3 linked regions of the Caenorhabditis elegans genome follow. The protein of the gene in region 2 interacts with the protein of the main gene of each other region in a pairwise test. Each region holds a gene or a part of one and is shown on either strand. Other genes may lie near its edges.

Evidence for each region. Proteins that work in one complex are often made in the same cells at the same time.
Region 1: the proteins of let-756 (region 2) and hsp-90 interact in binary tests that used the Caenorhabditis elegans proteins (3 or more experiments, as listed by UniProt).
Region 3: the proteins of let-756 (region 2) and par-5 interact in binary tests that used the Caenorhabditis elegans proteins (3 or more experiments, as listed by UniProt).

The regions. Positions count from the first base shown.
Region 1 is NC_003283.11:14,682,288-14,690,562, reverse strand, and holds hsp-90 (Heat shock protein 90), read right to left. Parts: upstream 4,404-8,275; 5' UTR 4,400-4,403; coding exon 4,250-4,399; intron 4,203-4,249; coding exon 3,498-4,202; intron 3,450-3,497; coding exon 2,464-3,449; intron 2,406-2,463; coding exon 2,138-2,405; 3' UTR 2,024-2,137; downstream 1-2,023. Other genes in the region: gasr-8 (uncharacterized protein), read right to left, coding at 19-801, 1,329-1,409; C47E8.11 (uncharacterized protein), read right to left, coding at 1,643-1,804, 1,852-1,926; C47E8.4 (Protein FAM50 homolog), read left to right, coding at 5,086-5,194, 5,241-5,370, 5,424-5,523, 5,758-5,829, 5,879-5,949, 6,047-6,209, 6,404-6,739; C47E8.3 (G-protein coupled receptors family 1 profile domain-containing protein), read right to left, coding at 6,926-7,187, 7,238-7,347, 7,399-7,690, 7,746-8,041. UniProt on the Caenorhabditis elegans protein: Molecular chaperone that promotes the maturation, structural maintenance and proper regulation of specific target proteins involved for instance in cell cycle control and signal transduction. Undergoes a functional cycle that is linked to its ATPase activity.
Region 2 is NC_003281.10:6,403,614-6,412,727, reverse strand, and holds let-756 (Protein let-756), read right to left. Parts: upstream 5,600-9,114; 5' UTR 5,592-5,599; coding exon 5,502-5,591; intron 5,234-5,501; coding exon 5,162-5,233; intron 5,113-5,161; coding exon 5,066-5,112; intron 4,860-5,065; coding exon 4,463-4,859; intron 4,160-4,462; coding exon 4,094-4,159; intron 4,050-4,093; coding exon 3,943-4,049; intron 3,892-3,942; coding exon 3,763-3,891; intron 3,506-3,762; coding exon 3,136-3,505; 3' UTR 2,695-3,135; downstream 1-2,694. Other genes in the region: nas-4 (Metalloendopeptidase), read left to right, coding at 254-292, 796-912; C05D11.5 (Putative hydroxypyruvate isomerase), read left to right, coding at 1,239-1,306, 1,600-1,842, 1,974-2,202, 2,288-2,357, 2,449-2,627. UniProt on the Caenorhabditis elegans protein: Required for larval development. Probably by binding receptor egl-15, negatively regulates membrane protrusion from body wall muscles during larval development.
Region 3 is NC_003282.8:11,818,483-11,825,801, reverse strand, and holds par-5 (14-3-3-like protein 1), read left to right. Parts: upstream 1-3,884; 5' UTR 3,885-3,904; coding exon 3,905-3,994; intron 3,995-4,042; coding exon 4,043-4,213; intron 4,214-4,278; coding exon 4,279-4,470; intron 4,471-4,517; coding exon 4,518-4,811; intron 4,812-4,913; 3' UTR 4,914-4,977; intron 4,978-5,021; 3' UTR 5,022-5,296; downstream 5,297-7,319. Other genes in the region: M117.3 (14-3-3 domain-containing protein), read right to left, coding at 1,864-2,154, 2,200-2,286; M117.1 (Major facilitator superfamily (MFS) profile domain-containing protein), read right to left, coding at 6,366-6,529, 6,582-6,688, 6,739-7,013, 7,235-7,319. UniProt on the Caenorhabditis elegans protein: Required to modulate lifespan, in concert with hcf-1, acting redundantly with 14-3-3-like protein ftt-2.

The DNA of each region.
Region 1 (8,275 bases), on a different chromosome or scaffold from region 2:
AATATTCAGAGTTCCTACCTGCAAGAAATCAATTTTTCCTTGCATCATGGCAGTTTGCTCACTATTTCCAGATTCAATTGTCCTTATCTGTTCCATATGTTTCAATCCAATTTCCTCAATTTCAATTTCTCTTTCTTCTTTCATCGCTTGCATTTGTGTCTCCTGTTCCTCTTTCATTCGTTGCTCCAAATGCACAATTGCATATTTCAAATCACTTTGAGCTTCTAACTTCTCTTTTTCAAGCTCCGCAATGAATGTTACTAGAAGATCATCAGATTGTCTTAAGATATTCGCTGCTTTCTCTTTTGTCAATTCTTCCATTGTCTGACATTCAACACTTTCTAGACCACCACTTGGAGCAATTGCTTCTGACTGTGTTCCAGCATTTCTATGCATTTTTGCATGAAATACCAAACTTCGAATTCTTTGTTGTAATTTCTGGATATGAGTTGCTTGATGTGTCTTCATATCAAACATACTTTTCTCTACGTCTCTTGTTCTCTCTCTTTCTTCTCCTAATCCATTTTCAGCTATTCTCCAGAATTGTTGAATTCTTCCTCTTTCCTGTTGAGCTGCATTCAGTTCCACTCTAGTTTTTGTCAATTCTCCACTCAACTTATCAGCTCGATCTTTCAGGCGGTCTTTTGTAATTTGAATTGCGTTTAATTTTTTCTCAACTTCAGCTATCTTTCGGGAATCTGCATTCTGATTCTGGATTGGCTCAACAACTTGGACTTTCTTTTTGGCAGCAGATCCTATTGCAGGTTTTCGACGGGAAGCTGCATTGGTCGATAATGTAGACTAAAATTGTTACAAATTTTTTGATAATATAGTAATTTTAATAGATTTTTGCTTTTGCTTTAACAGCTAAAATTACAAGAAACACAATCCGTAGAAAACTGTTGGTCGACCAAAAAAATTACGATGAAAACTGAAACAAAAAGAACTCCGTCGAACCGGATTCGAACCAGTGACCTAAGGATATCTGCAAACTCTACAGTCCTCCGCTCTACCAACTGAGCTATCGACGGCATGTTTTCGGTCGATGCCGCTGACACACACAAAACTGAAGAATGAGAGAAAACGCGCGCGGAAAGATGGAAGACCGGTTGCCGACAGTTTTCCGTTAAGAGGTGACGGAAAAAGTGTATACCCACAAAAACTGCGTATATTCCGGTTATTTTTCAAGTGTTTTCAGCGGTATTTTGAAAATTAAGCAGCAGAAAAAACTACATGCGCCTTTAAATTGAAGTACTGTAGAGAAAACAAATTGCAAGCCTAAAAACGAAAAAAAAACATTTATTTCGAATATCCCTTTTAATACATACCCTGATAGCTTTGGGTTTCTTCATAACTCGCTTGTTTTGAATATTAGAAGACGTATCACGCGAAGTCCCTGCCGTTTTCATAATTAATAGGAGTGAGCACAGACTGCAAAGAGAGCCCGGAACACAGAAAGAGCTCAGTAAAGCTGCTTTCAATTTCTCAAGGGCAGTTGGAAAGAGTTGGCATGGTAACGGATGTCAATTTGAGCACGCATCAACAGATTTGCGTGCGCGGAAAGCGGATTTTTCAAGAGAATAAGCATATGTTCATAAAACGATTATCGAAAAATTTTTATTTTTAGAAATAAAATGAGAGATTAGACAGCAAGGTTTGGTGGGATTGGAACAATTTCATCTTCATCTTCTTCTTCCGGATTCCACCAACGAACATCCAACTTGCGTCCTTCGAAATCTTCATTGACAGGATCCCAGAGGTTATAATTGAAATTTGGACGTGGAGGTGGATTGAATGGCTTTTCCTGAAACATGAAAAGATATTAAACTCATCTCCAACTCATGTATAAACCGGTTCTGGAATGATGCAGCAAACAGCACTGGCCAAGATCAGGAAACATGCCAACTCGAATAAGATTGCAATCATGTTTCGTATAAACTAAAACTGTTTAATTTCCCTCGAGTATCTAAACTGTTCAAATGTGCTTCTTCAAAAGTTCACGTTTGCAAAAAAAAACATTGATGAAATTAATTACGGAACTTTATTTGGGTTCGATAGACAGGAAAACAATGAATAAAACTGTGGAGGGGCTTTTGGGGAGATCTTCTCGTAACAAATGATAAATTAAATAGGATGTTTAGTCGACCTCCTCCATGCGGGAAGCATCCTCCTCAGCTCCCTCAATCTTGGCCTCAGCGGTGCACGATGATGGAACAGCAGAATCTTCAATTTCGTCATCTCCGATATCGAGACCAAGCTTGATCATTCTGTAGATGCGGGAAGCGTGAGATTGTGGCTCCTCAAGGGAGAATCCGGAAGCGAGAAGAGCAGTCTCGAAAAGAAGAACAACCAAATCCTTAACGGTCTTGTCATTCTTATCGACCTCGACACGATCACGAAGTGTCCTGAAATAGCAAAAACGTTTGTGAATGTTCATTTTAAAATAGTTTTTGGGTAACTTACTTCATGATAGCGTGGTCTGGGTTGATTTCGAGATGCTTCTTGGCGGCCATGTATCCCATAGTAGAGGAATCACGAAGAGCTTGAGCTTTCATGATGCGCTCCATGTTAGCGGACCATCCGTACTCGGAAGTGACAATGCAGCATGGGGAAGAGACAAGACGGTTAGAAACTCCAACCTTCTCAACCTTCTTCTCCAAAATGTCCTTGATGACCTTGCAAAGGTTTTCGTAGGCAACCTTGTCCTCTTCGAACTTCTTCTTCTCCTCCTCGGTTTCTGGGAGCTCGAGTCCTTCCTTGGTGACGGAGACAAGCTTCTTTCCATCATACTCCTTGAGTTGTTGGACGCAGTACTCATCAATTGGGTCGCACATGTAGAGGACTTCGAATCCGCGGCTCTTAACACGCTCGACGAAAGCTGAAGCAGCAACAACATCCTTGGACTCTCCGGTGATGTAGTAGATTTGAGTTTGGTTCTCCTTCATGCGGGAAACGTATTCCTTGAGGGAAGTTGGCTCATCTCCAGCGGAGGTAGAGTAGCGAAGGAAATCGGAAAGCTTCTTGCGGTTAGTAGAGTCCTCGTGGATTCCGAGCTTGAGATTCTTTCCGAATTGCTCGTAGAACTTCTTGAAGTTGTCTTTGTCCTCGGCAACCTCGTCGATAAGCTCCATGCACTTCTTGACAAGATTCTTACGGATGACCTTCAAGATCTTGGATTGCTGGAGCATTTCACGAGAGATGTTAAGTGGAAGATCCTCAGAATCGACGACTCCCTTGATGAAGTTAAGGTATTCTGGCATGAGCTCTTCGCAGTTCTCCATGATGAAGACACGACGAACGTAGAGCTTGATGGAGTTCTTGCTCTTCTTGTTCTCGAAGAGATCAAATGGAGCTCTTTGTGGGACGAAGAGAAGAGCACGGAATTCAAGTTGTCCCTCAACGGAGAAATGCTTGACGGCAAGATGATCTTCCCAGTCATTGGACAAGCTCTGAAATTAATGGAATTATTGCCATAAAATAATTAAAACTAAAAATACCTTGTAGAACTCAGCATATTCTTCGTTGGAGATATCGTCTGGGTTTCTGGTCCAGATTGGCTTGGTCTTGTTAAGCTCTTCGTCTTCGAAGTACTTCTCCTTGATTTTCTTGGTCTTCTTCTTGTCAGCGTCGTCAGCGACGTTCTCGACCTCTCCCTCCTTCTTCTCCTCATCCTTAGCCTCGACAGCCTCCTCATCTTCAACCTCCTTCTCACGCTCCTTCTCAACCACAAGCTTGATTGGGTATCCGATGAACTGAGAATGCTTCTTAACGATCTCCTTGATCTTGCGCTCCTCGAGGAAGTCAATCTGATCCTCCTTGATGTGCATGACAATCTTCGTTCCACGGGTGACCTCTGGGTCATTGAATGGACGAACGACGAAAGAACCTCCTGCGGAAGACTCCCATTGATAGCTGTCATCATCGTTGTTCTTGGATGTGACGACAACCTTATCGGCGACAAGGAAAGCAGAGTAGAATCCGACTCCGAACTGACCAATCATGGAAATATCAGCTCCAGCTTGAAGAGCCTCCATGAAGGCCTTGGTTCCAGACTTGGCAATGGTTCCAAGGTTGTTGACAAGATCGGCCTTGGTCATTCCGATTCCGGTATCCATAATGGTAAGGGTCTTTTCCTCCTTGTTTGGAGTAATTTTGATGAACAATTCCTTTCCAGTGTCAAGCTCGGATGGCTCGGTGAGTGCCTAAAACCGATATTTTAAAAAATTGACTCAGAAGCGAAAAAACAAACCTGGTAGCGAATCTTGTCAAGAGCATCGGAGGCGTTTGAGATCAATTCACGCAAGTAGATTTCCTTGTTACTGTAGAAAGTGTTGATGATCAAGCTCATCAACTGAGCAATCTCAGCCTGGAATGCGAAGGTTTCGGCGTTCTCGGACATGGTTCTGGAAAAATATCAATTAACAATCGAGCAACAAAAACTGAATAGAACTTTATAACGATTCAATGAATGAAAGAGCACGCATGGCGAATGATTTCGAAACTAAAAACACATTATAACCTTATCTAGAAATGAACTAATTTTAGGCCTAAAACTATTGTTCAAAAACCTTTAAAAATCAAAAACAATGATCCGTGATTAACATAAAAGCCATATTAGTGAGAGGAAAACCAAAAATCTTCACCCGAAAACCGAAAGAACTGGGAATATCAGAGCTCTGAGGCGTAATTGAAGGTCTAAATTTTGAACAAGATGCGAAATGTTCTCGAAGGAGGGCGTGGCCTTTCAATTTGATTGGTTGGTTTTCAAATTGCCCTTTTCGGCGGAAAATTCTCGACGAAAATTGTCAATAGAGCGCGTTTTCAGCACCTGGCCGAAGTTTTGCAGAATAGGTAACTAGGCCACAAACATTTTCTTGTTTTTAGTTTGAATTGTTTTTTCTTCATTTTTTTCAGATTACTTCGTCGAAAAGACGTTTTTTTGGTATTTTTGCACCAAAAAAAAATCTAAAATTATTATTCTATATTAAATAAAATCCCGAAATAAACTATATGTCACTCTCAATATTGAACTCGTTGAAAAATATTGCTTTCATTGGTTTTTATTTTATTTTTGCAGTTAATAAAATGTCCCGCGCCGACGAAGGCCGCTTGATTCATTTGGCAAAGAAACGTGAGCGTGAAAAGGAAGATATCGAACAACAATTGCGAAAGCTTGAAGAAGACAAAGAAAAATGTATGGTGAAACCCCTTTTTAATTATTAAAACTACAAATTTTGCAGGCAGGGTCGGAATTACGAATAAATTCATGGCAAACTATGAAACAGTCGAAGAAGTCGTGAAGTCTAAAACCTATGGCTTGGTATCATTGGATGATATGAAAAATATTCAGAAAAACGAAATTTCAAACAGGTTCGATTTTCTACATTTTGGAGAGCCTCACAATAAAAATGTGTACCTTATAGAGATCTACAAGTGGCCCGGGGAGACCAATCATCTTCTACTCAATCTAAAGATTCACAAGAAGCTCGAGAAAAAGAAGAACACGTTGCAAAACATACCCAGGTAAATGTGAAGGATTGCTGTAGAAATTTGGTTGTAGGCTCTAGACTCGGGTAGCAGTTGTAGTTCAATTGACTAGAGATTTCTCGTCGAAAGAGTCTTTTATACCAGATTTCTAAAAATTTGAGAACTTTCGAGAAAGAAAAATTGAGGGCAGGTGAGAGTGTGAGGAAACGCAGATATAAAACATTTTTGTAGAACATTCGAGAAAAACTGTTTTAATATTGCTAATTTCAGAAGCGATTTTTATCGTTTGCATTTGATGACGAAGAGGACGAAGAAGATGCTGCACCAATTATCCCGAAAAAGGTAAGAATAATAATTAAAAAGAAAAAATTAAAGCGAAAAATGTTTGCAGCGCGTTGGAATGGACCCAACTGTCGACACAAGCTTCCTGCCTGATAAAGAACGAGAGGAGTTCTTGAGAAAGTGAGTTCTAGAAGAAAAAACAACGACATTTCAAATTTTGGCGGGTGTAGATCATCCCGGTGAACAAATAAATAAAAAATAATAAGTCTGGTTTCAGAAAGAAAGAATCATTGGCAGCCGAGTGGCGTGTGAAGCAAGATGCCGAGAAAAACGAGGAAATTACAGTTGCCTACGCCTATTGGGATGGATCTTCACATCGGAAAAATATGAAAATCAAGAAAGGAAACACGATTTCGCAATGTCTAGGAAGAGCCATTGAGGTAATAATGAACTTCAGAAAATAAAAAAAAAGTGTTCTATGTATTTATTTTTTTGGAAATTTTTTGAGAAGGCAATTTATGAAATTCGACCGTTTCGGGCAAAAACCCACAAACTTTACTTCCCCTCTAAAATATTTTTTAATTGTTTTTTTTTTTCAACAAATCAAAAAATATTTATAAATATTCATTTTCAGGCTCTGAAAAAGGAATTCACGGAGCTTAAATCGTGCACAGCCGAGAATCTGATGTTCGTCAAAGAGGATCTCATCATACCACATTTCTACACGTTCCAAGACTTTATAGTCACAAAAGCAATGGGAAAGACTGGTCCGCTGTTCGTGTTCGATTCGGCTTCCGATGTTCGTATACGCCAAGATGCTGCACTTGACTATGGAGAATCTCATCCAGCGAAAATAGTACTTCGTAGTTGGTACGAAAAGAATAAGCACATTTATCCGGCGTCACGATGGGAACCATTCGTGCCCAGCAAGAAATACGGTCGTAATTTTGATGATCTCAGTGACTTGTAAATTATTAATCTCATGTTCTACTTTGAATTTGTTCCTGTAAAGTTTTCTGTTTGTTTTTGTGTTGAATTTCGAAACAAAAAATTTATATCAAATCTAAAATTTATATGAAACACTTTTTAAAAATAAGAAAAATTGGAGCAAATTAAAAACAAATAGGTAATCAAATGAGACAATTCATGAACCCGTTTACAACCGCCACTCTTGAAGTTTTTCATCATAAACTGCCGATGGCTTCGAGATACTTTCTGGAGAACTTAACGACATCTTCGATCCACCGTCACCAGCACCACCACACTCCAAAGAATTCGGAATACCATGGATCGGAGAGTATTCCTGTGGCTTTTTCGAATTGCCCATTAAACAAGTGATTCGCATTCCATGGAGAGTATCAACGGAAGCCGTGTGGATTAGCCGATTGCAGCAGAAATATATCGGGAAGCGAAGACAACTGAAAACTTGCTGGTTTTAGATTTTGCACTGAATTTGAATTTCCCATACCTTGCCAAAAGGGTAAAGATTGAAACTATATCATTTAGATAAGAGTACATAGTTGGAAATCCATCCTCGAGGCTCGAACGATTGATGGTCTCCCATACTGTTAGAAAAACCTGAAATACGATATAAGTTTCTCTCTCAAAAAATATATTTTTAGTTTTTACCTGAAGAGATTGCGACAAAAGATAAATGGAGACGAGACTGATTAATGCCCTTGTCGCATCCTTCACATTTCTTCGATGCGATTTCACATTCACCGACTTCCCATTGCTGACAACCGATTCTTTTTGCAATTTCTGCCTCTCATCTTCTTTCACTGCTTTCACGATCATAATGTTCATAGTTAGAAGTACAAGGAACGGAAGGATCCTATCCAAAGTGTTTCTCAATAAGAACATAAAATAGAACCGATAGTTCGGATCCATTGCATATGGTCCTGCGATGATCTCGTACTCCCTAAAAATATTTGGTTATTTAAAAAATCTAACAAAAAAGAGAAAAGAAAACTTACATAAAATCAGTGCAATGTGGATGATGATCTACATCCAACTCGTAATATATGACATATTTGTAGGCACACGCCAAGAAAATGCAAAATGCACTGACACCATACCGATTCCTTTCCAGAAACTTTCGACATACAGATATCGCCTTTCCATCAAAAGTTTTCAAGAACCGTTCAGTTGTTGCCAACACGATCATGAGCATCGATGCAAACATGGCCATATTCGACTCGGCCATCACAATTCGGAAATAGGACAGAAAAATGTGCCATAATGGTAGATACAAGTAATAGTCCATGTACACCTGGAATAAATAACTTTGGAAATTATTTTGTTCTGAATTTCAAAAAATATAAACTTCCTCTGGGGGTCTCGGAAACCCCCAGGGGAAGTGCGAAAGAGTGGCTTTTAGAAATGGGTTAAGTGGTATAAAGTGGGTCGGTGATTGGTCAACTTCTGATGTTGGATAATGAAATCAAAAAATGAGGAGCAAAGTTTTTTTTTTGCAAAATGTTTCTATTCAAGTGATATTTGAAGG
Region 2 (9,114 bases):
CTATCATACTAATGCCGGTAGCGTTAAAGCGCTTTTGCTGTGTATCCTTAGTTTTTGTGTGCAGTGCGTGTGATTCACCATTGTCTTCGCACTCGCACTTATTACAGTACCCCGTTCATTTCATATGACGGACGTTACTGTATTTTCGCAACTGTACTCCGATGTTATTTGGCTCCGCCTACTCTCTGAAAACCAATAAGTATCGTAGTGCAAAAAATATATCTCTTTCCACACAAAACAAAAAATTTTTCAGTCGCGATACGCGGGATTGCCTCTATCAACATCTAACCAAGTAACTAACAATCGTCGGATGATTCGAATTTTTGGTTAACTTATGTGTTCTTGTGTGTCTTTTTCAGTTTCTCTGTGTGTGTTTTAACGGGATTTGATCTCTCTTCTCAAGTTGCTTTTTGCCAATTCTTATTTGGTTCTGTATGTGTGTATTTTTAAATGTGTTGTGTGTCTAATCAATCTAATAAATTATCTTCACAATTTAATACTTTGCACAAATATTGAAAGAAAAATAAATAGGAAACATTAAGAAAATTAATTTTCAACTGAAGTAAATTAATATTGTCAATTATAGTGTCAGAATTCTTTCTAACCTAGTTAAGCTTGACTTCAATGCCGTCTACGCCTGATGTAGGCGCGCACACCTCATGCTTGCCTATAAAGGCCGCCTGTTTGAAAGTCAATTTTTTTTGAAAGTTAAAATTTTCGCATTTCATGTATCAAGGTTGTGAGGTACACCGACCCAATATGTACTATTCTGTTTCCTGTTCTATTTATTTTCAGACGGAACCCTGTGAAGATCTAACATGGAGATGCCGGTTTTGGTCACTTTTCTCATATTGCCAACGACGAGAGGTTCGAGCAATTATTTGCAGAAAATCGTGCTCAGTGTGCAAATAATTTGGCTTAGTACTCTGTTTTACTGTAACATTAAGCTTCAGATTCCCCAAACTCTTAATACTTTTCAAATATATTCTAGACGGGTTCTTATACTTTTTCAATTAATTGAATCTTGTTTCATTGTTCTCGAGGACAATTTACACAAAACTGAACTTTGCTCTCACCCTCTATGCGTCTCTTCTTCTTCTTATTATCTCTCTCAATTGTCGATTTACGATAAACCACGCCATCTCTGTTATTTTGGAGTCTTGTTATCATATACAGAAATACACAAATATAAATAGTTTATTTACGTGTGAAAATAAGTTCATTTCGATCAAAAAGACATGAGTGGGACGAATCGAGTTGCCGCCAATCTGAACATGTTGTTCACTAATTTGCCATTGCTGCAAAGGTTTGTCTCCGGAATTTCATTTTTTAGTTTTGCTATCGGATATTTGAAAATTTAGCGATGTTGCGCCTTTGAGGATTACTGTAGTTGTCACTTCCCGATATTTCTTGCATTAAAAATTCCAATTGCAACTAAAAATTCTCTGTGTTGGAATTCGAATTTTCATTACTACAGTACTCTTGAAATCCGCACATTTAAAATTGGCTTTGAGATCGGCTACCGTAATTTCGCGGCAAAAATTGTCAAAAAAAAGACTTTACATGCTTCTTCTAAATTTTGCACACAATTTTTTTCAGATACGGAGCAGCCGCCTCCGCGGGTTTCAAGCTTGTCGAAGTGAGCATTCCTTACACGGAGCCAGCCGAAAAACTTCGTGAAGCAGCTGATGAGTATCATCTTAAACATACTTTGATCAATGCACCGCCCGGGAATTGGGATGACGGATTTAGAGGATTGGCTTCTTTGAAATCGGCGAAAAAGGAGTTTAGAAAGAGTTTGGATACTGCGATTGAGTATGCGAAGGCTCTTGGATGTTGTAGGTCAGTTGAGGAAAGAGGGATTTCAAATTAGGAACAATGTGCATTGGATGTGATGTATTGAGTACGTAGTGTCTTTCAAATCTTATTAATACTTCAAACGGTGCAAACTACAGTAATCTAAACAATTTCAGAGTTCACGTAATGGCTGGAATTCCGAAATCGGATGATGACTTGGAAAATGCTCATCAGACCTATTCTGAAAATGTGCGTTTTGCCGCCGAAAAGTTCAAGGAGCACAAGTTGATATGCCTCATTGAACCAATCAATAAGTACACTATTCCTGGATATCACTTAAATAATTATGAAGATGCAATGGATGTGATCCAAATGGATCAATCGAATAATTTGAAAATTCAATATGTAAGTCAATAGAACATAAAACATCGAATTTTATGCACAATTTTTTTTGAAAATAAGAATTCGAAAAGTAACTGTAATTTTTCAGGACACATTCCACGCTCAACAAATCAACGGACAAATTGGAGCAATTATGAGAAAGCTCAAAGATTATATTGGTTAGTTGAAAAGGATGATGATGAAAATAAGCTTACGCCCTATTTTTCTGAAATTACTTTTTCATTCGTCGATTTTTTTCGAGTTTTTCAGGCTATATTCAAGTGGCTCAAGTTCCAAATAGAGGTGCATGTGATACACGCGGAGAAATCGATTATCATTTTATTTTCGATGAAATCCGTTCGATCAATCCATCATGGGTTATTGGTGCTGAATATTTGGATGCAAAGCCTTCATTCAATTGGATTGAGAACATGTCTCTAAGTTTTTGAATTACCTGTCTTTGTAAATTCGCTCCATTGATAATTTTTTTAAAATAACAATACATATTTTTCAAATATATATTATTCATAATAGTAAGTTACAGTATGTTCAAAATACAAAACCCGTGAGTATGGAATGAGACACGTGGCGAGTTGGGGGTGTTTTAGAGAGACTTGGAAAACATACTTAAAAGGGGCGAGCTTGGGAAGAAAAACAGTAGTGTACGCAAATTGTCGTATTTAGAGCATGGTGTGATTTTAAGAGTCTAATACAGAAATATTATGAAGGTAGAAATAGAAAATTAGAAAATTCGTTGTGTGTTTCAATATTCACAAGAAAGGGTTTCATTTCTAAAGCACCGTGCCTTACGAACTTCACGACAATGTACTGCGCTTCTTCTCAAAATCAGCCCTGATAAAAAATTAATTAAGCAAAAGAAGGCAGGAAGAAATGGAAAGAAAATGAGAAGATCATGATGATAGATGCTGTGCGGGGTATCATAAGAAGAGAGATCGTTCACGGGTATCGTTGATAGTTAACATTCTGACGGTTTGGATTTGACACTGTCTGAGCTAGATAGTGTTGTTGTGATTGATGACGTTGTTGAGGGTCTGATGAAGAGCTGACACGTGGATGGTGATGATGATGGTGATGGGAATTGTGATGAGGAGCCTGTGTCACTGGAGACTGCCAATATGGATTGTATGCAGGTCGTGGAGATTGTACTGTTGATCTTGTTGGAAGAGGTCGATACGTTGGATAAGGATTCGCTGGATTTTGAGGACGATTGTACCGAGTTTGAGTAGATGCTTGTTGCTGCTGTTGTTGTTGATAACGACGTCGGAGTTCTTCTTCACGAAGACTTTTGAGCTCTTGGCGACGGGCTCTGAAATACGTTTGATAATTGGTATAGATCTAGGAAAGTCACACGTGGAATCATCATAAATGTTTCAAATAGTTTTGTGCTACCTGGCATTGAATTTATTTTTGCCGCTCAAAAACTGAAACGGAACGATACCCAAAAAAAGCCATTTCAGTCTGGCTTCAAATCTTAAAAACCAAAAAAATGTTCTGCTATTTTTCAATACTTTCATAATAATTCTCAGTTCTCTGCGCTTTCTTTTTCTCAGAATAATAACTAACTCTCTAATTTGTTCCTCTTTTCTTAATCGATCTTCTCTCCTTCGTTTCTTCTTTTCTCTTCGTCTTTTCTTTTCTTCTAATAATCTTTGCTTCTCAGCTTGGTTCGTCATTTCCACTTTTGCTCGTAAACTACAAAAATTTCATTAGCTCTAATCTGATACTTTTGATATAAATGCTTACTTTGAAATACGATGTGGATTTGGTGGTTTTGTAACGGTCTGCTGTCGGAATAATGGATGACTGGGAGGTTGGTGAAAGAGTGAAGCAACTACCAGATCGGTTACGTCCTGAAAATCAAAAAGTTGAAACTGTATGTCTCGAAAAAACTCACATTTCCATTTGGAACGGGACTTCGTAACCGGTCAAGATCGTGATGAACAACTAGAAAATGGCTCGCCTGAAATATACGGATAATGTATTTCAATCAAAAAAAAGTGCACACGGATTTCTTTATGTATCTAGCTACAGTAGCCGCGAGTACGGTAGGAACTTATTGAAACGAGAGAAAAGTTAATGTACATATCAGGAAATATTCGCTCGTTCCAGACCTCGAGCTTCTAATTTTTGGTAAAAACCACATTTTCTTGCGAACATATGCTCGAAAATATACTTTAATCGGGTTTTAAAAATTATTTTTCTAAAATGTAATAATATCTCCGATACGAGCTGTCAAAGCAGAATGAGTATATATTTCACTTACTTTCCGACGTTTTTTTGAATTAGGACCTCTCCTTGGTTTTCCACTCCGTCGTAATTCAATATACCAGGGATTAAACCTGTCACCATAAGCACAAGACGCATATAAATTGTAATAATTTTCCATCATTTCTTCGAGAAAAACGCATTCTGTTGAATAATTAGATGATGGTGTTGCATATAATTTCCCCGATGGATCCATACAAATGAAATTCTTTGTTTCAACTCCTCGAATCGATACAAGACTCATTGCCACTGACACAAACTCCACTATACTGAATTTGGAACTCTCCTCTTTTGTTCCATGAACTTTGACACGTGTCGATCCATCGTCAGGATTTTCGATAGGAAGCATCTCCAACCAGGTTCCCGAACGACAAAACAGGGCTCCGCGGCGACGGCTGGAAGTAGAAATTAGTCAAAAACGCAATGCCTTTGAAATCATTGGCAAGTTTTAATTTTTGATCATGATCACTTCGATTAAAAAAATGTTTTTTGTTGTTTTTGATAAATTGTCGTTGCCCTGTGAAAGAAAACAAATTTCAAGAATTGAGTAAAAAATCCGAGATCCCTTGTTACAAAAAGTTTGAAAAGCTTAAAAACTCACTCATCAGCAGGTGGATACCCATTTTCTTCTTCATCTTGTAGTTGTTTCTGGAAACCATTTTCAAGTTTACAACTGTATCTCTAATTTCAAACTCACTCTGATCCGGTCCACTCGATACGGAGCACATGAATTTATACGATCGGTTACAAAATTTGAATTATAGAATCCCTGAAAATTTATTTCTAAGTTTCAGTTCATATCTTAACTTTGAAAAAGTAATCAATTTGTGGGAGAAAAAAACATTATCCTAGATTTTCTAGTGTGCTATAATTTTTTCCAAAAAACATAGAGGTGTCAGATTCTTAAGTTACTGTATGAATATTTCAATTTTTGGTTTTTTCACATTTTGAGTACATATAGCTTGAACTTCCAAACGTTCTTAATTCAAAAAAAAATTAAAAAATTAAACATTTATGGTTAAAAGAAGTAAACTTACCGCAAGAAAAGGTGTAACTGGTGTTGTCAAAAAGTTAGAAGTGGCTGCTCCTCCGTATGAAACTATCGATGAGGCGGCAGGAACGGCCATATATTCATCTGAACATTTGAAGAAATTGTAATGATTTGGAAATATTGAAGAACGAGGAAGTAAGAGTCAATAAATGAGAAAAAGGGCAAGTACAGAGATTCGGGAGCAAACAATCTTCACCTCCGCCTCCACTCCTTTTCTGGCACGAGTTTGCACTCAGGCTCAGTTGGGAGAAGGCTCAGGCTTTCTTGCAAAATGGAAAATTGTGATGAAAAAAAAACAAATAGAACGGTAAGATTGGAATGAAGGAATGCAACAATGAAAGAGAGTCTATTGAGAAAACAGATAAATAGAAACAGATCACAATGACCAAGTTCAATAAGATGCAAAATAGAGTTTAGAGTTTGTTCGGGGGCATTAGAAGTATCTTTGAATAAAAACTTTAAAAAGAAAGAAGATTATTAATATTCTATCTTTATATTTGGAAAAAAGTAGTATACTACTAATTTAAAATCCGATAATCATACAACAAGTTCAAAAATTTATAACATTACAAATTTTTTATAAGAAAGTGATTAAGAATTTTGAGAAATATGAAAGTATTTTTTGTAATCTAGTTTTTGTGAAAAGCCACATATTTTGCTTGCAAATTTCCAAAATGTTTATTTTTCCCAAAAAAGTTGTTGCTCAACTTTAAATGTCTTATGGTTCACTCAACAGATTTTAGAGTAGGTAAGAGGCAGGTGTAGGCTCTGCATTTAGGAGTTTTTGTGTATCTGTGGAAAATTTCAACAACGGTTTTTTTTTCCGAGAAAACATATGTAGTTTTGGCAAAGTGATTTGAACCGATTGAATCATCACAAATTTTCACAAGTGACGACAAAGTTTTGAGATCATATTTACACAGTTGTTCATAACATTTGTTCAAAATAAAAACACAAAAAAAAACTTCAAAAAAGGAGGAAAAATAGATCAAAATAAATGAAAAGAGCATCAAAATGTGTAGGATCTCTAGGCTATAACAGAAAAATACCATTTTGGAAAAATGCCAATTTGTAGAGATTCCCAGAATAGTGTCATATTTGTAAATAAAAAACATCCCCCGCAAACAATACTCTTCCGAAAATGAATGAAATTTGAGCTAATAAAGTATGATGCATTTGGAAAAATAGTAGAAAGCGATACTATTCTGAGGAACTAAGAATGACGTTCGATAAAAAATGAGCAGAAATAACACATAATAATATGGTTCAAATTTATAGCAAACATGAAATTACGAATTCCATGGTAAGTTAAGAATTATTCACATTTTCACGTATGTGGAGATGGATATGTGAAAAGTAGATGATTAGTTTGACAAAAGTAAGTTTGGAAAAAAATAAGTGTTTTTTTGGAATACTGGAATGAAGTAAATTTATATTGTCTTACTGTTAGAAAAATGAAAACATGTTAAAAAATGCTTAATTGAAAAAAAGCATAAACCGAATACGGTATTTCATGAATAGGTATACGGAACAGTCGTGGCAAGACCCATTTATGAGAATCTAGAAATATATTTAAATGTCTGAGTGTGAAAACTTGAAAACTAAAATCCTATAGTACCCGAAAAATCATATGACAGAAGAAAGATCAAGAAAAATATGAGTAATAGTTGATGTAGGAAAAAGAAAGAAATCGAGGATGAAACGTGTGAGATAATAATTGATAATCAATGAGGATACAAAGACTCTTTCTCTCTCACTCTCGTAGTCCGAATCCCGCGCGTCTTAGTCCGTCTGAGAAGATGATAATGGTGAATGAAGAGACGACAGATTATCAACGAGACAGTTGGCTTCTTCTTCTTATTCAAAAGAGCTCCCGTCCTCTATGTTTTATCATCATCATCATTATCACAAAACGACTGATCTTCAAGTGAAACACGAAGAAACTGCTCTCAGGGATTGGGTTACCGAATGAGAGGGTGTTTCACTCAACAACACAATTGCTCTCTCTTGCAAAATTTTTTTGAGGGGATCAAGTTGGTAGATGATGATTGAGAATTGACACGGATTCATCGGACACATTCTGACATTCCCGATAACGAGCTAACTGAATGTGATGGTGTGAGGGAGGATGAAATGAACACGAAGAGAGGACAAACATTGGGGTCATTTTGAATTACGTGTGAAAGGTATGTCTAGACGATTTGTGTTTGAGGTTATGTCAACTGTGGTATTGAGTTTGATCAACTGGACTTCAAAAGTGTCAAAACTTTACAGAAAGTTCACACAGTTTCTTGATCCTTAATAAGAACAACAATTTTTTTAAAGTCATAACCGGACTAGAAGCTTAAAACGGTTCAGAAAATAAATAGATTTGTTTTACCATCTATGGTACTTTCAAATTTGGAAAACAATAGAAAAGCAGAAAAGTGGCATTCAATTTTTACCTATCATACTTGTCCTTTCACAACACTTTTGTTCTTATTTGACACCTTCTATCTCGGCAGTCTTTGGGTTTATCAAATCATTTTAACAACAAAAAATTTTTTTCAATTATTTTTCAATCTTTTTAGTTGAACAATATTTGATGAAGCCTCGAACAAAAGCTTCCGTAAAATATGTCAGATATGGGCGGGGCCTAGTTTGGGGTAAAATTTGCGAAAATTAAAAGACTCAAACTTTTTTGAAAAATTTTGTTTTGTCGCGTTTTTGAGTTACATTTTCTGCTTCATCTCAGAATTTGTTTTCAGTTTTTTTCAGTATTATGACTGAGCAAAACAAGCCAAGACCGAAATCCAAAAAATTATGAAGAAACCTAGTTTGAATAAATTGTCAAAAGATCGTTGAAACACTTTTTCATGTAGTTTTTATCGAGAATCCGCTTAGTGACGTCTTCTTGCAAGAACCGTGACGTCCGTCCGACATAACTAGAAATAAATCTACTTTTCTTTTTTGGTGTGTTCTTTGTCACCCCGTTGGACCCTTCATCAGTGCTTTCAATCTTTCTAATAACTCCCTAAAGACCTTTGGTGACTTTAGTATCCAGAACACCCAAGGACAATCAGGCACACGCAGAAAAAGTATAGTTTGTCAGAAGTAACCTACCGGATAAATATAATTGACATGAACTGACAAGGATCCTTGTTTACCAGGAAAACACCGTACACAAAAAATACACCTCTGATCAGTCGGGATCACAAACGAACAAGTTGTAAAAAGTTGTCAAGAAAAAAGATATGGATGAGGGGAGAAAGGGGTGAGGGAGGACTTGGTGTAAAGTTGAGATGGCTCCCGGAGCCCCGGGCACTGGGAAAAGGGAGGCGACCAAAAATGTTCAGAAGACGTCAGAATTATAAGAAGAGAAGGAAAGTGAATAAGTCATTGGGGTAGTTACATTGTTAATTCTGTTGATTTTGAGAGAACAATTGGGGTTTAAAGGGTTAAACGCTGAAATAAATTTCACAAAATATTCAAACTTCTTTCTTTCTCCGAGCATTTCAAAAAATTGTTTACAAAAAGTGTTTAGGTGGGTCATTTTGGGAAGAGCAGAAAGTTGAGGAGTTGTCCTCTGAGCCCATGTTCTGCAAATGGTGCTCCGACAT
Region 3 (7,319 bases), on a different chromosome or scaffold from region 2:
AAAAAAAAACAAAAATTTTTAAGTATCATCAAAAATTTCTTACTATTAGATATTGCAGAAAAAAGTTGTATTTCCTGCTTGAATAAATTTCTAGCCAAATTCAATACTTTCGGTAAGGCAGCCCAACATTCTTTGGAGCTCTGAACAAAGAAACGTCCTATCATATTATTTACATATGCATCTTTTTTGAAAAAGTGAGTTAATGAGCAAAGTAAGTCAATGAGAGAGAATTAAATAAGTATTTGCCAACAAAAAAGCTTTTGAGGCAACATATGGTCTAAAAACCGTAAGTACAGTTTGTGCCATTTTCGTTTTCGTTTTCGTTTTCGTGTTTTAAAACGAAAATTTTCGTTTTCGTTTTCGAAAATGGAATTTCGAAAAAGTCCCAGCCCTGGTGGGAAAATGGGAAGATAAATATGAAGAAATGATTTGCCCCAAAAGATTTGGAAAATGATACTGTTCTAAAATTATATTTTTTCGAAATTTTTTTATTCGCAAAATTAAATTTTTGAATTGCCACTAGGGCTCACAGTGGTGAAGGTACACTCAAAACTTAGCAAATGACACTGTTTTTTTAGATGTCTTTTTTTAGATTTTCTAATGAAAACCATTTAGTGAAAAAGTTAGTTATCTATTCAGTTGAGGAATTAATAACTCAAAGTGATTCTGGGATGTATATACAATACTGCTGCATTTCTCACAACTTTATCTCGACCACCAATTTTTTTTGATGAAAAACCATCAACTAAAAAGTTGTACTTCAGATTAAAATAATCAACTTTGTAGTTGACAACTTTGCCATAAAATTTTTTCCACGGAGATGTAAGCATCCAAAGTGAACTCGATTTTGGAACATGTTCAACTATACCTCAGGTTTTTGACTGAAATTGTGTTCTGAACATCCAAAGTTTTTTTCAGAAAATTTAAATTTCCCGCCAAAATGTTTTTTATTCAGAAAATTTAAGTTTCCCGCCAAAAAAGTATTCTTCAGAAAAGTTGAATTTCCCGCCAAAATGTTTTTTAGAAAATTTGAATTTCCCGCTAAAATGACTTTTTCAGAAAATTTAAACTTCCCGCCAAAATTATTCTCAGGAAATTTGAATTTTTCGCCAGAAGGTCTCACCACGATGTGTCTACAGTATAAAATCTACAGTAATCCTACAGTACTCCTACAGTACCTCTACAGTACCTCTACAGTACTACTACAGCACCCCGACCATGTCACTCCATTAACCCTAAACCAATATCCCTTTACCAACCGTGGACCGCACCTCCGGCGCGGCCCCCGACTTCTGGAGCTGAAAAGTAATTTTTCTGAAACTACCGTAATCATACAGTACTCCTACCGTATCACTATTGTAATACTACAGTACTCCGATTATATCTGTACACTAACCCCAACTCACAATCCCTCCAGAAGCTAAAACTTCGCAGACTATAAAGACTACATACAAACTATGAACAAACGGAATAAGCGCTTTGTATATATAGTAAATGATAATCCAAAACTTTGCACACTACAAAGCCTGCATACACTACAAACTCCGGAGTCCGGACAGACTAACTGTATTTTTTTAAAATATAAGCAATAATGATGCTGAGCATCAAAGGGATTGAGCCATCGTTAGGGATTGAGCGTTCAAGTGAAGGAGCACGCTAGTAAATGAGGGTTTGCCCCGAACCGACGCCACCCACCGAAGAAGACGACCTGGACTTCAAGTCCTCTCCACCCTCATTACCACCATCACTCGCTCCTACTTCAAAAAATGAATGCGTTTCAGCATATTCCCTTGTTTTCTCAAGAAAAAATCATAAGAAACATGTTTTTTCACTGCGAAAAAAAATTGAATATCCAGAAAAATTTCAATTATCAGCCTCTTCTCCTTCTTTTCCGTCGACACGCTGCTCGTGAGTACTCTTCAATAGATCGTAAAGTGTACGAGCACGTTTCAAGTTCGAGATATCGTACGAATCCAGTGAGCTCTTCATCTTCTCCAATTCGCGATGAGCACTATCAAGAGCACTCTGTGCAATTTCGTTGGCTTCTTTGGGAAGATTCAGGACATCGAAGTTTAAGGCGCTTGCATTGAGGGCAAGTCCAAGGCGAATTGGGTGAGTTGGCTGCATCTTGTCCTTAGCGATACCAAGAGCCTCCTGAAAGTCATTTCATTTACATCAAGAATTTAGTTATTCAAATACCTGATAAGCGATTCGCGACTTGTGTGCATGCTCTTCTCTGTTGATATCGTCGTATTGGACCAGATACCTAAAATGGTCGGCGACCATGCCACCGAAGAGAGCCTTAGTTTCATCATTTAGCGCATAGTCTCAAGCCAAACAGGCGGGGCAGTTCAAAAATAGTTTGATATATAGTTTGATATAGTTTGATGAATAGTGGCGTGGAGTACGGTTTCGCGGCAATTCAAATACTACTATTCTTGAGACCAGACGAATCGGACGATTAACGGCGGCGAGGGATTCGGATCGGGGGAACCCAATCTGTGGGACGGGCCACGCCCACGATCAAATTTTGCAACCTCCGCACGGTTCTATGGGCGTGGCCAATCCCCCGATGTCAACAAATTTTAAAAAAAACCTTCCCCGATTTTATAAATATTTCAGCTTGAAATCGCGATGTTCATTTGCGAACTCGAGGCATTTTCGAAACGTTAAATGTTCCCGCGCAATAATGCTCCGCTGAACAGTGCACGCTTTTTGTGTAGATTCATTTAAATATTCATTTTCCGTCAGATTTCATGTAGAAACCCAAAGATTCGCTCATTTCGCTGCTCGATCTTTTCTTTTTCTTCATTCAACCGTATATTATATGCATTTTTCGTTTAAACGTTTTTCAAAAATTTTTAAAAATTGCTTACAATCTTCTTTGTAAAAAGAATATATTTTGCAACCAATTTTTTCGATTCTCCATGGAAAACTTATCAATTTAAACTGCATTCACTGTTACACTGATAATGCTTTGAACGACGGCGGTCGGAGAACTTCCAACCGATTACTGTTCTCCAATTTCATGTTTCTAGAAAAAAAGAAATTTCTGTCGTTTCATAACATGTTTTAACACGCAGAGCCTTTTTTTTTCGAATGAACCGCCATTTTCTTTAAAGGCGCAAGCTATTCCCTCTGCGCGATATTTCGCCGCGAAAAAAGAAGCCCCGCGAAAAAACGTATTCGAACCGCGGAATTTCCGCGAATTTGTTGCTGGTTTCTTCTAGAATTCAACGATTCAATGCTCATTTCATCACAATTTTTTTTTGTAAAATTATCCTTCTCGCTTTTATGCTCCTCTTGCCCTCAATTTTCTGTCTAAAAGCTATCATTTCCTCTGATTTCTTCCTCGATTTTCAAATGTTGGCCCAAAATAGTGATTTTTTCTTTAATTATATCCTAATCCCCACCAACACGATTTAGCAATTCTCGAAAATTATTTTTTTGCGTTGTTCAGGTAAAAGTCCTGACGAAACCTCCTGAGTTTTGTGTAACGTGCTCACCGAAAGATTAGTGTGCTTGCTGCGCCCGTTGTCACCACTGCCATTCATCCTTCTATTCCCGTGTTTTCTTATCAAATGCCCAAAAAATCTGAAATTTTTTGTGTAGACAATGCTATATATGAGGAGCGAATGTGTGCGCCAGAGAAAAAGACGGACAGACACAAATTGAGTGAGTGTGCGTTGCCCACTTTAGTTGTTGTCATGCGACGGCGGCGGCACGCGCTCTCTCATCGGCCGGCACTGCTGTCCATCGATTTTTCTTCTTTCAAACGTCGTGCGGGCTGTTTCGAATGTTCTAGGGCTCTCCGTTTCGATTATTACTCTCGCCTATGTTCTTCTCTTTTCGTTCTCAATATTTCATTATAAATTTTGTTTCAGAAGACTTGCTCACTGAAAAAATGTCCGATACCGTGGAAGAGCTCGTTCAACGCGCCAAGCTTGCCGAACAAGCCGAGCGATACGATGATATGGCTGCCGCCATGAAGAAAGTAAGATAAAACATCATTTACGGAGGTTTCAAATTTACTATTTTTCAGGTGACCGAGCAGGGACAGGAGCTTTCCAACGAAGAGCGTAACCTTCTCTCTGTTGCCTACAAAAACGTCGTCGGAGCTCGCCGTTCATCGTGGAGAGTTATCTCTTCCATTGAGCAAAAGACCGAGGGATCCGAGAAGAAGCAACAACTCGCCAAGGAATACCGCGTCAAGGTAACTACACCAAGCAAGATTTTATTAATTTCAAGAATTTTAGTAACTTATTTACATTATTTCAGGTTGAGCAAGAACTCAACGACATCTGCCAAGATGTGCTCAAGCTCCTCGACGAGTTCCTCATTGTCAAGGCTGGAGCTGCTGAGTCGAAGGTCTTCTATCTCAAGATGAAAGGAGATTACTACAGATACCTCGCCGAGGTCGCTTCAGAGGATCGCGCTGCCGTTGTTGAGAAGTCCCAGAAGGCTTACCAGGTATTTGAAAATAACTAAATTCTTGATGTAAATGGCATGACTTTCAGGAGGCTCTTGATATCGCTAAGGACAAGATGCAGCCAACCCACCCAATTCGCCTTGGACTTGCCCTCAACTTCTCTGTCTTCTACTACGAGATCTTGAACACTCCAGAGCACGCTTGCCAACTCGCGAAACAGGCTTTCGATGATGCTATTGCTGAGCTCGACACGTTGAACGAGGATTCGTACAAGGACTCGACCTTGATCATGCAACTTCTACGTGACAATCTCACTCTCTGGACATCTGACGTTGGAGCTGAAGATCAAGAGCAGGAGGGAAACCAGGAAGCTGGAAACTAAGTACGATTTCAAAATGTTTTATTGCCATTATATAAAGCTGACCTTTTTCCTCTTTTCCTTTCACATCAAATCTTGCTTCGAAAAAATAGTTTCGGTTTTCAGAGAGCTGAACTCCGTTCTCTTTCCTCGCATCTCTTCAACTTTCAGTTATCCTCCAACATTTCCGGTACGTTAGCCGAGAGAGTTGCCTAATCACCGTTTTTGTTTTAGACTTAACGTATTCACCAATACTCCATACAACACTGCGCAATAGCATCATGAAAGAAAATTCGGTCTTCAAGTGCTCTAGATCTCCAAGCCATAATTCTCTTCATGCTCTATTTCGCTGTAATTCACTCCGTCACTATTGTCATTCCTAAAATGGCGTATTGTTCTATGATTATTATGTGCTGTAAAGTATAATGAACCCCCATCTTCCATTTTTCTCTTATTATCCCCGATCTTTATTTTTAGATCTTTTTGAACATAAATGTTTGGTGAACTTTTCCGGTTGTCCGAATTTCATCACAACTTTCCAGGAGTTTTTCGAGTAATGGAATGGAATTTATTTTCAGATTTCGATGAAGGAGCATAAATAGGATAAAACATTTGCATTAACCTCTTAGAAGGTCTCAACACGAAAAATTAAATGAAATGTGAAAAAGTGTGCGCCTTTAAGCTGCCGAAAATTTTTTGATAGTTTCTTCCACGATTCGTTAAAAATTAAGTGTTTTATGGTAACATTTGAGTGTTCTTTTGAAAATAAATATATTCTTTGTCGAAAAACTATGAAACATCGATAAAAATTCCGCAGCAATAGAAGTTTAAAATTACAGTACTCTTTAAAGACTCACACCTTTTTGCGTTCAACAAATATTAGACGTGTCGAGACTAAGTACCGTACTTTTGGCGCAAAAAGCTCAAAATTTCGCTCCTGGGCAATATAATTTTCGGAAAAAAACTTAATTCTGGAGACTTCATGTGTTTTCACAGATCATGACGAGACCGATTGAGAAACATTTGGAAATACATTTTTCTTCAATATATCTTCAAAGTGGCCGATTGTATGTGATCATACGGAATAACGATGGATGTGTTTTGTGCTTTTCGGCAGATTTCGAGCTTTTGAGCCAACAATTTTCAGCGTTGTGGATGAAAAAACATGTCACGTTGTTTAATCAATTTAAAATCTTTAAAATGTAATGACTATTTTTATGGACTGCGCAGTTGCCCCATGTTGAAAAAAGATGTCAATTGCAATTACATTTTATTTTCCGTATAAGTTAAATTCAATAACCCAAAGTTCAAAAAAGTACTATTTATGAGTATTATCACGTGGTGTCAGAATGTCCCATGTCGGTTTGAACTTCGAAATATGCGGGAGTTGAGACGTAGACTGACGTCACATTTTTCTGAGAAAAAGTTATCCGCATTTTTGTAGATCATACCGTTATGGGGCAACCTGACACCACGTGTCTTATTCGAGATCCATATTTGAGTGAACACCCGGATAAGCTGGTAATCGTCTTTTCTTTTCAATTATGTGAACACTGATATGAATAATTTATTAAATAATTAATTGATTGAAGTTTCGCAGGGAAGCTGAGGCTTGCTGAGCTCTAATTCAGCGTTCAACACAAAGTCGGCTGGTTCTGAACGAGCTAGGAGAACATAGACTGTGTTGGCTACTGTAAGTGTTAAAGCATGGATCAGGAAGTAGCTGGTCCATGAGAGTTCAGCTGAAAGTGTTGAAAAAGGTTTAGTTTAGAAAGAGAATGAATTGATACTTACAATCTTCACTTCCCGGAAGCACAAGAAGAGAAAAAAGAACAGGTTCGAGCAGTGTTGCTAACGATTTGAACAATTGAATATACCCGATGACAAAGTAAGAGAATTGTCTGAAAATGTTCATTCTTGAAATTTCAAATTAATTTTTAAATCGCCTTACCTTGATATCAAAGCGGCGCCCTTATAGAATCCTCCACAATTGAACCCGAATGAAGCCTGATAGAAAGTGATGCAGATGACGTGTAGATATGGATGCTCGCGTGGCAGCAAGACTACGAGCATGAGAAAAAACGCGGGTACTTGCAATGAGATCGTGTTGAATAACCGCAACTTTGACTTTTCCGGCAGTGTACGAATACGATCGGACGCGATACCGGCGAATACTCGAACACCGATGAATAGATAACCTTTCATGGAATTCAGCCATGCATTAGCCTGGAAATTCACAAAATTGAGGGCAAATATCGGTGCAATATCGGTCTTTATTGCAATTTCGTGAAATTTTGACATGGCACTTTAAAGGCACACGCTGTTTTTCTCAGTGGGTCTCGCCACGCTCTCAACCATTGTAGTCGCTACAGGTACCAAATGTCATAGAATTGTTCATTGGATGTGGAAAATTAAGTTTGCCCCGACGTGCCTGAACACAAATTTACCTGAATATCCATTCCGAGGTATTGATAGTATTGTGCACCATATACAAGAAATACAAAACTGGCAAAAATATCGGCGAACCCGGCA